2 linked regions of the Neodiprion lecontei genome follow. The protein of the gene in region 1 binds, or shares a complex with, the protein of each later gene. Links are inferred from orthologs where the notes say so. Each region holds a gene or a part of one and is shown on either strand. Other genes may lie near its edges.

The links.
Region 2: protein bicaudal D (region 1) and lissencephaly-1 homolog share a complex: the UniProt entries of both Caenorhabditis elegans proteins name them as parts of the dynein-regulating complex. The link is inferred for Neodiprion lecontei from reciprocal best matches to the Caenorhabditis elegans genes bicd-1 and lis-1.

What each region holds. Positions count from the first base shown.
Region 1 is NC_060260.1:37,767,731-37,773,019, forward strand, and holds the start of protein bicaudal D, read left to right. Parts: upstream 1-2,157; 5' UTR 2,158-2,745; coding exon 2,746-2,955; intron 2,956-5,289. UniProt on the Caenorhabditis elegans protein: Part of a complex with dlc-1 and egal-1, which is recruited to the nuclear envelope by unc-83, where in turn, it recruits dynein to the nuclear surface and regulates nuclear migration in hypodermal precursor cells.
Region 2 is NC_060264.1:3,214,796-3,221,282, forward strand, and holds lissencephaly-1 homolog, read right to left. Parts: upstream 4,303-6,487; 5' UTR 4,288-4,302; coding exon 4,244-4,287; intron 4,167-4,243; coding exon 4,013-4,166; intron 3,922-4,012; coding exon 3,715-3,921; intron 3,532-3,714; coding exon 3,268-3,531; intron 3,147-3,267; coding exon 3,000-3,146; intron 2,899-2,999; coding exon 2,550-2,898; intron 2,428-2,549; coding exon 2,354-2,427; 3' UTR 597-2,353; downstream 1-596. Other genes in the region: exosome complex component RRP40, read left to right, coding at 1-284. UniProt on the Caenorhabditis elegans protein: Positively regulates the activity of the minus-end directed microtubule motor protein dynein. May enhance dynein-mediated microtubule sliding by targeting dynein to the microtubule plus end.

The sequences.
Region 1 (5,289 bases):
CCATTCACATGTTTGAAGGCAATTTTATTTTTACTTTCAATAGATTTTTATTTTTACAATTGCGAATTATTATTGTTGTTAATACTTGTTTACTTTTATCATTTTGTTCGCAACCTAAAATCTCTGTGAATTTCCGATTTACATGCTTGTAATACTGAAACTATAACTATATAGCAATTATTTGCCTCTCTGCTCTTTGCGAATTGTTATTCGTAATACTTGCTTAAACCTGAAGTTCATAATACAATGATCTACAACTGATAATATATATTGTCTAGATGCGTATTTATATAAAAAAGTTCTAAATTTACTTTAAATATTTAAGTGTACAGTGGTTTTATTATTGAAAATGATCTTAAGCTTCCGCTTGCCATAGTAATGAGTTGTTAATAGACTATTATGAATAAGCTCTAATAATAATAAAATAACAAAAATACAAATAATTAATATTTTATATTGCGTAGCTTTGTAAATATTTTTCATTAAGTTTTCTGTCGATATCGATTCTCTGTAATGTAACTGACATAATTTATACAATAATACATATACATATTATATATGTGTTTGTATATGATCACAATCTAACGATTATAAGATAACGTTAATGTGTATACAAACGTTAAATTTTTGGCATAATAACGCACTTTGGCATACTAGATAATCATACATCGAAATCTGTTACATGTCTCATCCAGATATTTCGTACTTTGAAAGGAGTAAAGCGAAAAATTGAATCTTTCATTATCCACCACGTGGCTAGATTGGTGGTTTTTTTTTTACACCTCCAAGCTACGACACATTATTTTTATGTAAATGTGTGTTGTCTATTAAACTTATCCATCGCTGTTCAATAGTAGCGCGAAGTAATTATTCACAATTGCATGGATTATACATGTAACGTAATTTCTACTTTTCCACAATTTGAAATGTTGAGAATTTATTCTATACTATTTGGGGGCATAACAAATGCATCAAATAGTGGAATATTTTTTAGGAAGTGGAATGTCTCAAGTCCAATTAATTAATACTTCATGGCCAAAAACATATTCATTTCCACAGATATGCTAATTTCGCACCTAAACAAACCATAATACTTAGGTGCTGTAACACACCTAAGCTTGAATGTTTCCTAGAATGAACGCGATTTCTTTTTTTAAAAATATAATGCTAGTTATGCGATGAGATCAACTGAAAAACGATCTGCGTATTGAATGGTGCATTGGAATATATATATATATATATATATATATATATATATATATATCTTAATACAATCTTAATACATAAAAGTTTCTCCATTTCACACAATATGCATGTTCTATTTGCACACGTAATAATGAAAGTGTGAAAAAAAAAATTAACATTTCTTCAAACATAATACAATCCATACTACGTTGGATATATATCTTCGGTCAACATATACTTTAATGTTGAGAAGTTTATAATCGTTGAAGTTTTTGTACAAAATTTATTATCCGCAGTAGTGGTCAAAGAATTCCTCGAAGTGAAATGTCTCGTTACAGGATTTTCTGCCGATATAGGAATGATAATAAAACTAAGTCACTTGGTACACAGGTAATAATATCCTAGTTACATAACGCAAGAACAAACGGAAAAAAATACTTAATAATATAAAAAATATTATGTGTCGATATCCTCCACGCTGTAGAAATAATAGATGTGTAAATAAAACTGCAACCTAGCATAAAAGAAAACAGAACAAAAGGAAACAAAAACAACAATGCGTATAATCTTTATTTTGTTTCTCCGACATATTTCTCACAGCTATGGAATATAAATTTGAATCAATAAAAACTAATTGCAGTTACAATTTTTCCCCTACCTCTTTCCTTCATTTGAAATAAACTGCAAGTCCCGCCAACGAACATGTGATCCAATTTTAAGGTGCGTTACATACATGGAGCGAGTTAAGGCAATCGCAGTACACTCTCTCTCGCTCTGCGCCGTGATTGGCTGAGCACCGTCTCTGCTCCAATCACAGCGAAGAGCGAGAGAAACAGAGTGTACTCAAATCACTCGATCAACTTCTGACGACCGCACGAGGCGCTGAAAGCGCCGTTCGTCGGCGTTTAGAACTTCCGTGTACCATACGGAGATGAAACGATGATCTAATCGGGCAACAACGACACACCCACCCCTAAATGCCCGCTTCAACGAACTCTTTATCGTGTAGGGGGGGAGGTCTCCCCGGGGTGCAACAACAAACCAGAAGTCTAGACGACGCAAATGGAATGAGAAATTGAATTGGGGTCAAATCCGATAAAGAGACAGGGGTACGAGATCGGATCGGCGCAAAGCGCGATATGAGAATTGGAAATCAATCGCTGAGTCGACTACCTTGGTTGAAGAGAGCTAGTTTCCGGTGGGAAGAAGAGACGGCGCTGATCCCGTCCGCCGTCGTCGTCGTCGGCAGTGGAATTTTCATAATCAAAGCGCAAAGCGAGGGTCAGTCAGGTGTTGAAGCGAAGTTAGCCCGCTGACCGCTGTCAAACGGCTGACGTTACGCCGATGATCAAGTTGAATTGATAATAAATAAACATACGCGAGTGACGACGACGACGACGAGTCGGGCCGATTCGAGCGGGATATATGACAAGATAATGATCTCGCGGTCGGGCACTGCTGTTTGTTTAGAATTAATAACGCTCGGTTGCAGTTTGCGGTAACGGTTAAACACGACGATTCTCGATCGGAGAGGTGATCAGTTTATATATTCACGCCGAAATGGCTGCCGCTGACGGAGCCACGGCCGACGAACTCAGGGCCGAAATCGAGAGGCTGTCGAGGGAACTTGATCTAGCATCAACCGAGAAGGTACAATCAGCCCAGTACGGACTCGCCCTTCTTGAGGAGAAATCAACCCTGCAGCAGAGGTGCGACAACCTCGAAACGCTCTATGAAAACGCCAGGCACGATCTCGAGATTACGCAAGAGGTTAGTATAACCCCGCGGCTCCGACACCGAGGCCCACCCACTTCCTTTACCGTACATACTGAACACTCGCCGATCCTTTTTTCTCTGTCTCTGTTCCTTTCGCTGTCGCACCTTTTCCACCTAGCGAGGAACTAGTTTCTAACTGATCTAAATACCGCATTGGTAATTGATCTATCCTAACGTGGGCGTCTCTTCATTCGTTCCATCTTGAAATTTAGTAGGTTACACCTAATTTTTCTGCGGAGACAATTTTTAACCCTTTAATATCACTTCGCTGTACGTCAGATTTCTGTGTTTCGCTCTCAAACAGCTGCACGGATAACTTATCGATCGTCTTATCTGATTCGCACTCTGCGTCATCCACGATACAGATACTGATCTAACTTTTTGTTTAATGCACAACAAGTCTAGCAACGAACATGTCGTTGCAAAAAAGTTTGCCAAGGAATAGTTTTCATTGTGCGATTGAGTTTCACCTTGAATTAGGAACAAAATTAAACACCGCGAACTGAATTCACCAACACCAATTACAAATAAATTTTGAGAGAAATTACATGGTCTTGAATACCAAAAGCGTGTCATTCGATAAACTTTAGCAAATCGATGCTCATTTTTTTTCATCGAGTTAATGAATAATTTCCAATGTCTCGCTGAAAAATACATTAGAGTCGTGAAAAATCTCTTCCCAGACAAAATCAGCAATAATTGTTTGAAATTGGATGATTTTTGTGCTCTTGGCGCTAAAATAGTAGCACAGTAATGTCAATGATTAAGCGTTTTTCACCCTAATTGTTGGTTATTAATCTTCTGCTGTCTGATCGGAACATTATCTTAATCCAATCTAACACAACATATCAATCTGATATAATACAATCTAACTTAAGACAATCTAACATAAATTCCACTTCATTTCTCAAACTTATATTACATATTTCATTATCCTTATCACTTTTTCGATCTAACTGTGATTGCTTGCAATATTTTTATAATTCTTCTCATCATTGACTTTGATTCTTCATTTCCTTGATATTACAACTATTAAAGCGAATTCCAGGCAGCGATATCCGAAGAAACAAGTTCAAAATGAGCACAAACTCGTTTGTTTTTCACTCTCTTAATTATTGCGTTGTAAAATTTCGCTTTGGTCTAATTTTGATGGAAAATTTGCCGAATACTCATTGTGGGGAACACTAATTGAATAATCGTCAATGAGATTAGTCTGAGCCAGACATTCAAAGGGTCTATAAATCAATCAAAGCCCTATTGCCTGACTTCATTTCAGAAATTAGACTCTATTCTCGGTTTTATTATCGGACTAGTCAGAACCCATTTTGCTAATTGAAGAGACAATAAATTTCATAAGACATATTTCTTCTTGTTTACTTGATCCTGCGAGTAAAGGTGAATTTCTTGCGCTTCACTTTTTCTATTTTCCACTTAAGCTTCAGATAAAAATTAACTGTGATCCATGATGTAATAATAATTTCCATACAAGCTAGCAAACTTGACTTGTGGATCGTTGTCACTAGTGCCCGTCATACGACCTTCAGGTAAAAACAGAATCGCCTACTCATTTCATTATGGTGACTCAGACTTGTGAAATTCTATCTTGATTACTGTCTTCCTTAAAAGTAATTTGAACAAAATTAAAACATCTAGATATTTTTGTTCCAACTATTGAATAGAATTTTCAATGGTTCTTGACATACCAGCGGTCCTAAAGATATATCTTGAATTTTATGAACGAATATCATTTTCTGGAAATTTTACCGATCTCATAATTTTTTGATCATTTGACCTCTTTTGGTTGGAATTGTTATTCAATTTTTTTTTTTTGTCTACCTATTAAAAACAGTTTGCTATCTTGTGAAAAAATATTGAGAATTAATAGACAGAAAACATACAAAGAGAATAAAAGCTGTATGTATTATAAACAGTACTGTATAAATTTATCGAAGCGTCTGTACTCAGTTAAAACACAAATAAAGAATTATTATTTATATCCTCGTTGAAGCTTTTGTTTTGAAAAAATATTCTTCTGCAATGCACTGTCAATCAAGCATCGAAGTTACTCGGAAAATACATACCAGAAAATGGAATCTTTAATCTTGGGAAAGTCTGGAAATATTGACTATAATATTTAGCTCAATATTCTATCATTGCGCTATTATTATGTGCGATATAAGATCCGAAAAGTCATCACGCAAATGCTTGAATGTAAATGTAATGAACTTCAATCTGAAAGATAGCGGTTGTAAAATGAATCCCAGTGTTCTTGAACCTGGATAAAAACATCTTCCTTTTCACATTTGACCGAAATTTAAATTTAGATAC
Region 2 (6,487 bases), on another chromosome or scaffold:
AGGGCAAGTTAGGTGTCTTAAGTCCAGATGGGATGCTGTTTGATTGTTCCCTTAGTTTGGCGAGGAAATTGCTTCACCCAAGTTGTCAGCTGTTGACATTGCTTGCCAAAGAACAGGCCTACGAAATCGCCATAGGTATGAATGGAAAGATCTGGATGAAGGCCAGATCAGTCCACGAGACAATAGCGGCTTGCAATGCTATTTTAGCTGCGGAAAACACCCCACCAGCAGAAATGCCAGCCTTGTGTTCGAGTATCGCCCGTAATTTACTCCGAATAAGCTAAGAAAAAGACTAATTCCACAACCCTTGGTGTACATCCAGATATTTTAAGTATTTTATGAAACATGCTTTTTTTTGCAATAAAATCTTCCTTCGATATGAGTGATAATCTACTTAGATTTATTGAAAGCAATAGAGCACACAACAGTCGGCAAAAGATAGTGAGAAAGAATACTCTGTAAGTTAGAATGTAGTTTTTGGAGACAATTTTTTATTAAAGAATATAATACTTTAATACCATCATCGTTTGAGAAGATGAAGACAAAGGACGTAAACAAGGAAAGTAGATGGGCAGGGTACAATATTGAGTGGTTACTATTTTAAAATTAATTATTATTCATCACGTCTATTTGGTTGCAAGTCGTATGTGTGTGCTCTAATTTCTACACGTATTCCAAGTGTTCCTACTCATATTATAACAGTACTATCCTACTTAGTATCCTAGTATACTTCGTTTCACACCCCATTCATTGTTAAGCTACAGAAATTATGATCTCCATACACAAGTGTAATCAATATTTTTCAATTTCACAAATTTTATTGGTAATTTGCTATTAATTTACTGTATATAGTAATATTACGTTAATAATGCACGTCAAGAAGTTTGTCCAGCATTGAAAAAAAGTTGACGTTACAAATTCCAACAAACTTTCCACCGAAATTGAGAAATTAAATCTTGGTAAGAACGCGAAGAATTTAACGTCAAAAATCATTTGAGTAACAGCAGCCAGTCCAACGTTACGCTTGACCATAGATCAAAACGTTATTGGTAAAGAATATTATTATATTACCGCAATTTTCTAATTCAAATTAGTATAATCATAACGATTTCTCATTGCTGGGCAATTAATTGTAATCAAAGTATATGTATACTGGGTTCTTAAAATTTTGTTCAATTTTTTAGTGTGATGAAATAGATAATTTGAGTACAGTAGTCACAATAGGGTATAAGGTAGATTAATGGTTAATATTCAATGTGTAGTAGAATAGTATAGCATAGCAATAGTATATTATACGTGTATGTATATAAATAAAGTAATAGCGTTACGTAAATAGTAGAGCCAGGTCAACTTCAGAACTTCTCGAGCTTAGGTTTTGGATGAAGACTTGCGTTTGGACAATAATCGATGTTCCAGAAGAAACTGTCAAGCTAATTACAGGGTGAAGGATTTTAGAAGTGTATATATGGTATAGTCATTAACGTCCGTTAATGATGATCGATCAACGATCAAGCTCTAGATAATATTTACTTATTCAACGAGGCTACTGTATCTTGCATGCAATTTATTCTATCAATTGATAACATGTTTTGCATCCGCGACAAAAATATGAAGATAGAAAATCACGTCGAACAAGCGATATGTTGTAAAGAATTTGATTCAATCTGGTATTAACTGAAGTCAAAACTGGCTCTAATAATTATCATTTCATAATTTTATCATCAAGCTCAAGAGGCCTCAACAAGAGACTCTGAAACCTTACTTCACGTTTCAAATAACTGTCAGGCGGAAACTCTTCCCGCAAAACGGACTGAAATGAATGAAATTTTTCTCAGGAGTGCATTAAGATAATCGTGGTCTGTATATCCAATAATATATTGTATCACGGCGTGATAAATTTATTCAAAGCTTGATCGCAAAAATATCGAAAGCAGTCAAAGGGCTTTACATTTCGTTACTTGACCGATAGACCTATTTATTGCGCCACTAATCTGGAACTTACAATTTAGCGAACCAATCGAGTCTGCTTGTCTCTTGAAACATTTTTTTCTTACAACAATATCATTGTACACGATAAATTTCTCTATTTTCTTATGGCATACGATACCTCTTCAGAAGCCTCTTAAAGCCGTTTGTAGCCCTTTAATTTGAATACTTTATTACTGTTAAACAATATTATTACAATTACTAATTTATTATACTTTATTATAAATTAATTAAGGATCTCTTAATCGTATATGCTTATGTGTTTTTATAATAGTATGTACGATAGCTTTTCAGCAGCTTACTTCTGTGCCATCCCCATATGGAACTGGACTTTTGTTAAGTTTCAGTAATTTCAGAAACTGGGTGACTAGCGGCATTCCCAAACCTTTACCGTCTGATCCACGCTACCGCTTACCACGTATGGATGGCTCTTGTGAAAATCTACAATACAAAAGATGATGTATATCATGCCTCCATTCTCATAGCGGCTGAAGGGCTAGCCCACTTATTGCAATATTCCCTCGAGTATTTAATTAAAAAGCGGAGAAAACCAAAAAACTCACCAACAGACGTGCAGAAGTGCATGTGTGCCTCAAGCGTCTTCATTGACCGTTTGTTGCGGGTGTCCCATACCCGCAGCGTCTTATCGTCTGATGCACTGACTATATATTTACCACCTGGGTGGAACACTATTCCACGTACCCAGTTATCATGCCCTTGGAGAGTGAATAGACATACCCCAGCCCCAACGTCCCACACGCGTATTGTCTTGTCTCGGGATCCAGATGCCAGGAAGGGTCCCTCGTGTGCCCCTTTATTGTCTGCTCCAGCTGCAGCGTTGATCGCTCCACGCGATGTTTCCGGGGCCCACGCGATACATTCCACAACATGATCGTGGTCCCTCAGTTCGACCTGTAAGGAACCAAGTATAGTTTATATCATGTTATTCATAGGATTGATTATTTACTGGATAAAAATTAATGGAGGGTACAATTAAGGAGCATTTTTAGTACCTTGGTTTCTTTAGTTGCAACGTGCCATACCCTGACAGTCTGGTCGTTTGAGCAGCTTGCAATCAGTTCGCCGCAAGGACTCACCCGTGCCATACGGACCCATTCTCTGTGCCCCGCAAGCGTTTTTACACAATAACCAGTAGCAACCTATGACCAAACAAATTGGTGATATTAAATCGTTTGTCACATACAATCCTTTCTCTAAAAGAAATATCAAGAGAAATACCATAACTGCTTTTCAGTGTGAATTTTGCACCCTACTCCTTACCTCCCACATTTTTATGGTCTTGTCCCGTGACGCGCTGACAATAAAGTCTCCTTGCGGCATGAATGCTACCGAACTAACGTTGTGGTCATGCCCGTGCATCGTCTTGATGCAGGCAAATGACTGTTGAAAGTCCCACAGCTTGATTGACATGTCAGCGCTGCAGGATACCAAGAGCTTTCCAGTAGTATCGAATGCAATATCTTGAACACTGTCCGTGTGGCCTTTGAGTGTTCGCTCAAATTCTCCGCTTTCGAAATCCCACACCTAGGGAATATTAATAATTCAAATTCTGCGGGTATACATGAGATATACACGTGGGAGTTGTACAATTGAGGAGGTTCATAATCAAATATATTTACATGTGACAATTTTACACGGTATTGTTAGCCAAGAATGATCAAGGAGATCCTACTTGCACATGCCATGTTAAATTGTATTGAAACTCACCTTTAGCGTGGCGTCTTCACTGGCAGAAACCATAAGGCTGAATACTGGGTGGAAAATTACTCTGTTTACAGGCGCCCTATGCCCAGAGAGACAGAACTTTTCAGGTGGCCTCGGAATCCATTCGGTCGGTGATCTCTTACCCCTAGTAGGCGCTCCCTCAATAAATTCTTTTTCTGCCTCTGATAGTTTCGACTCGAGTTCCATGACCTATAAATATGAAATAACATTGGTGGATTTTATCATGTAACATGTATGACCCAAGGTATCCAATTGATGTGAATGGGTATGACATGCATACCTTTTTTTGTAGTCTTATGACTGAAGTCCACTTCTTCTCGAGCAACCCACCGTATTTCCGCTCCACCTCACCAGGCATGTCAGCTTCCTTCTTGAACGCTTCCAGGGCATCTTGATATCCGTTGCTACTCAGATAGTCTGCAATCGCCTTGTTTCTGCAACGTAAATGATTTTTTATTCATTTAACAACTTATCTTGTTCCATATAAATCACAGTAAACTTTTGATCGTACCTGTAGAGCATATACTCATGCAATGAATTGGCAATTTCCACCATCTAGTCTAGTAGGTTGTTGAAAAGGACTGGGGTATTTCAAGTGAATTTTCAATCAACATTATTGAAGTGTTTTATGAGCAACATAAGCATGGAGAATCTGTAACTTTTGTCTATGTATAGCAAAAAGTTCAGTTCTCTTCTCAAAACAATCTACATGAGTGCATTTTTTGTGAGTAGCGGATATTTTTTGGAAAAGTATAATTTCGTAACAAAAATGTTATACTTTCTGATAATATGTATTGTATACTTGGTGATAATTCCAGTTTTGAGCTCGGCACAAGTAAATTTTATGAATGGAAGGATTTCGCGGAATCGAAATTTCCTTACATTTCATTACACAGTATATTTAAAATTTGAGTAAAAAAAAGTTGAATATTTCTATTGATTGGCAAAATCTGAAACCATACAGGATGCAAAACTCTTGTCTATCATACCAAACGGTAAAAAGGACAATTCTCTTATACCAAAACCCTAACTTCAAACCTAAGTTGGGTAAGGGGTCGAGTTCTGAACGAATCGTCGAAAATACATCGATACTTCGAACCGTGTGTAACGTAAAATACATTGACGATAACAGAAATGTACTATAGATACGCGTGAAATGAAAGTGAGAAAATTCTGACGGGATTAACAAAGGTTGATGAATTCCCGAAGAGATGGAATCAAAATCGAGATAATTACAAAGTTCTACTTGAACGCGCGTTTCCCGAATTATTTGGTTTTCCGTCGTGTTCCTACATGCTTCGAAACCCTTAGGAGTGCGGCGAAAAACACCGCCTAGCGCCTTCACAATCGATCTTTCTTTAAATTCTGCAGCATCAATGAGCAAGCCAAGCATCGTAGTATAATTCCGGTCTATAGGCGGTAAGCACCGGCAGGAAAGGTTGAGGGTGACGTCAGTCAGGGTGGGCGGGTCGAAAGCCACCACGCGGATACGCGGCCGGCGTCGGCGCGAGCGACGGCAGAGGGATGAAGGGGAGCGTGTTATTGATCCCTTTCAGGATCGCATCCCTCCGTGACGCCCGCGCACGACTGAATAATAACGCGTAGCCGCCGACTGGATGAACAGACGAATGATGACTATAAAAACCGTTCCAGCGAGATACCGAGATACATAGAGACTTACAACTCCTCCCGCTGACGTTGAGACAAGACCATTTTCATGATCCTCGGATGACCTGGATAATCCTTAGTAACTCGGGTGCAGATCTGGGCTTCAAGGACCTCACCGCAAGCTTCGGGGCTCCTCCAGCCTCGACTCAGTACTCTGCCGCGGACGTCATCATCTGCAAGCAGATAATGAAGTAGCGTCGGTTGTAATGAGAAAATCACAGCGTCCCCCCTCTTGCAACTCTGTCACGTCGTCCGTTTTTCGGTTCTTCTCCTAGAGCGATGATGGTATAAGTTTTCAATTCGAAGTAATCAATTTGTATCGCTCGTTTAATTGTTTAACAGGTGTAAATATATTTAACGAGCAATCCAATAAGAGCGCGAACGACGCACGCCGCGTAAATTACACCCGGCATTAGCCGTGCAATTCAACTTGAATCACGCAGTTCATTTTATATACACGTAAAATAATATCCATTGATACTTTCACCTGTATCTCGTGTCCTCGACCACCATCAGACTATCGACCATCGCCGTCAATTCATAAATTAAAACCGAATGAGTAGAGTAACCGGGAAGGTGGGACAAAAGCGCTATTCGGCGTCACCGATTCTTCTTACGTCATGCAAGAATTTTAGCAGCGAACGGAACGATTTCTGTACTGCTGGCACACGTTTCGCACGTGTGCGTGCCGTTTAACTTTTCTCAAGTCTCGGAAGCGCGACCATTATATCTTATGTCCAATGCCCACGTGCTGAAGGCAGGCATTCGTAAGTGCGTAATATGAAGTTATAAAATGTGAAAAAATGTCTCACAAAGGAGGACCGGATACAATTTTCACCAACAAAAAATCTTGGTTTTTGTATACCATAATTTTTTATACACTTGACAAGACGGCGTGCAAAATCGATGCCAAAGATGCACGAGACGCAAATTGAAAACCAGACGTGGACGTATGCGGAAATCGTAAATTCTCGAGTAAACATTGAAATTTGGAGACCTTGATAAGTCGCAGTCTCCGAAGACGGGCGCCTAGTCGTCGCCCCCGCATGCCACGCGACAATCAATACCTATCCGACAACATCGGATG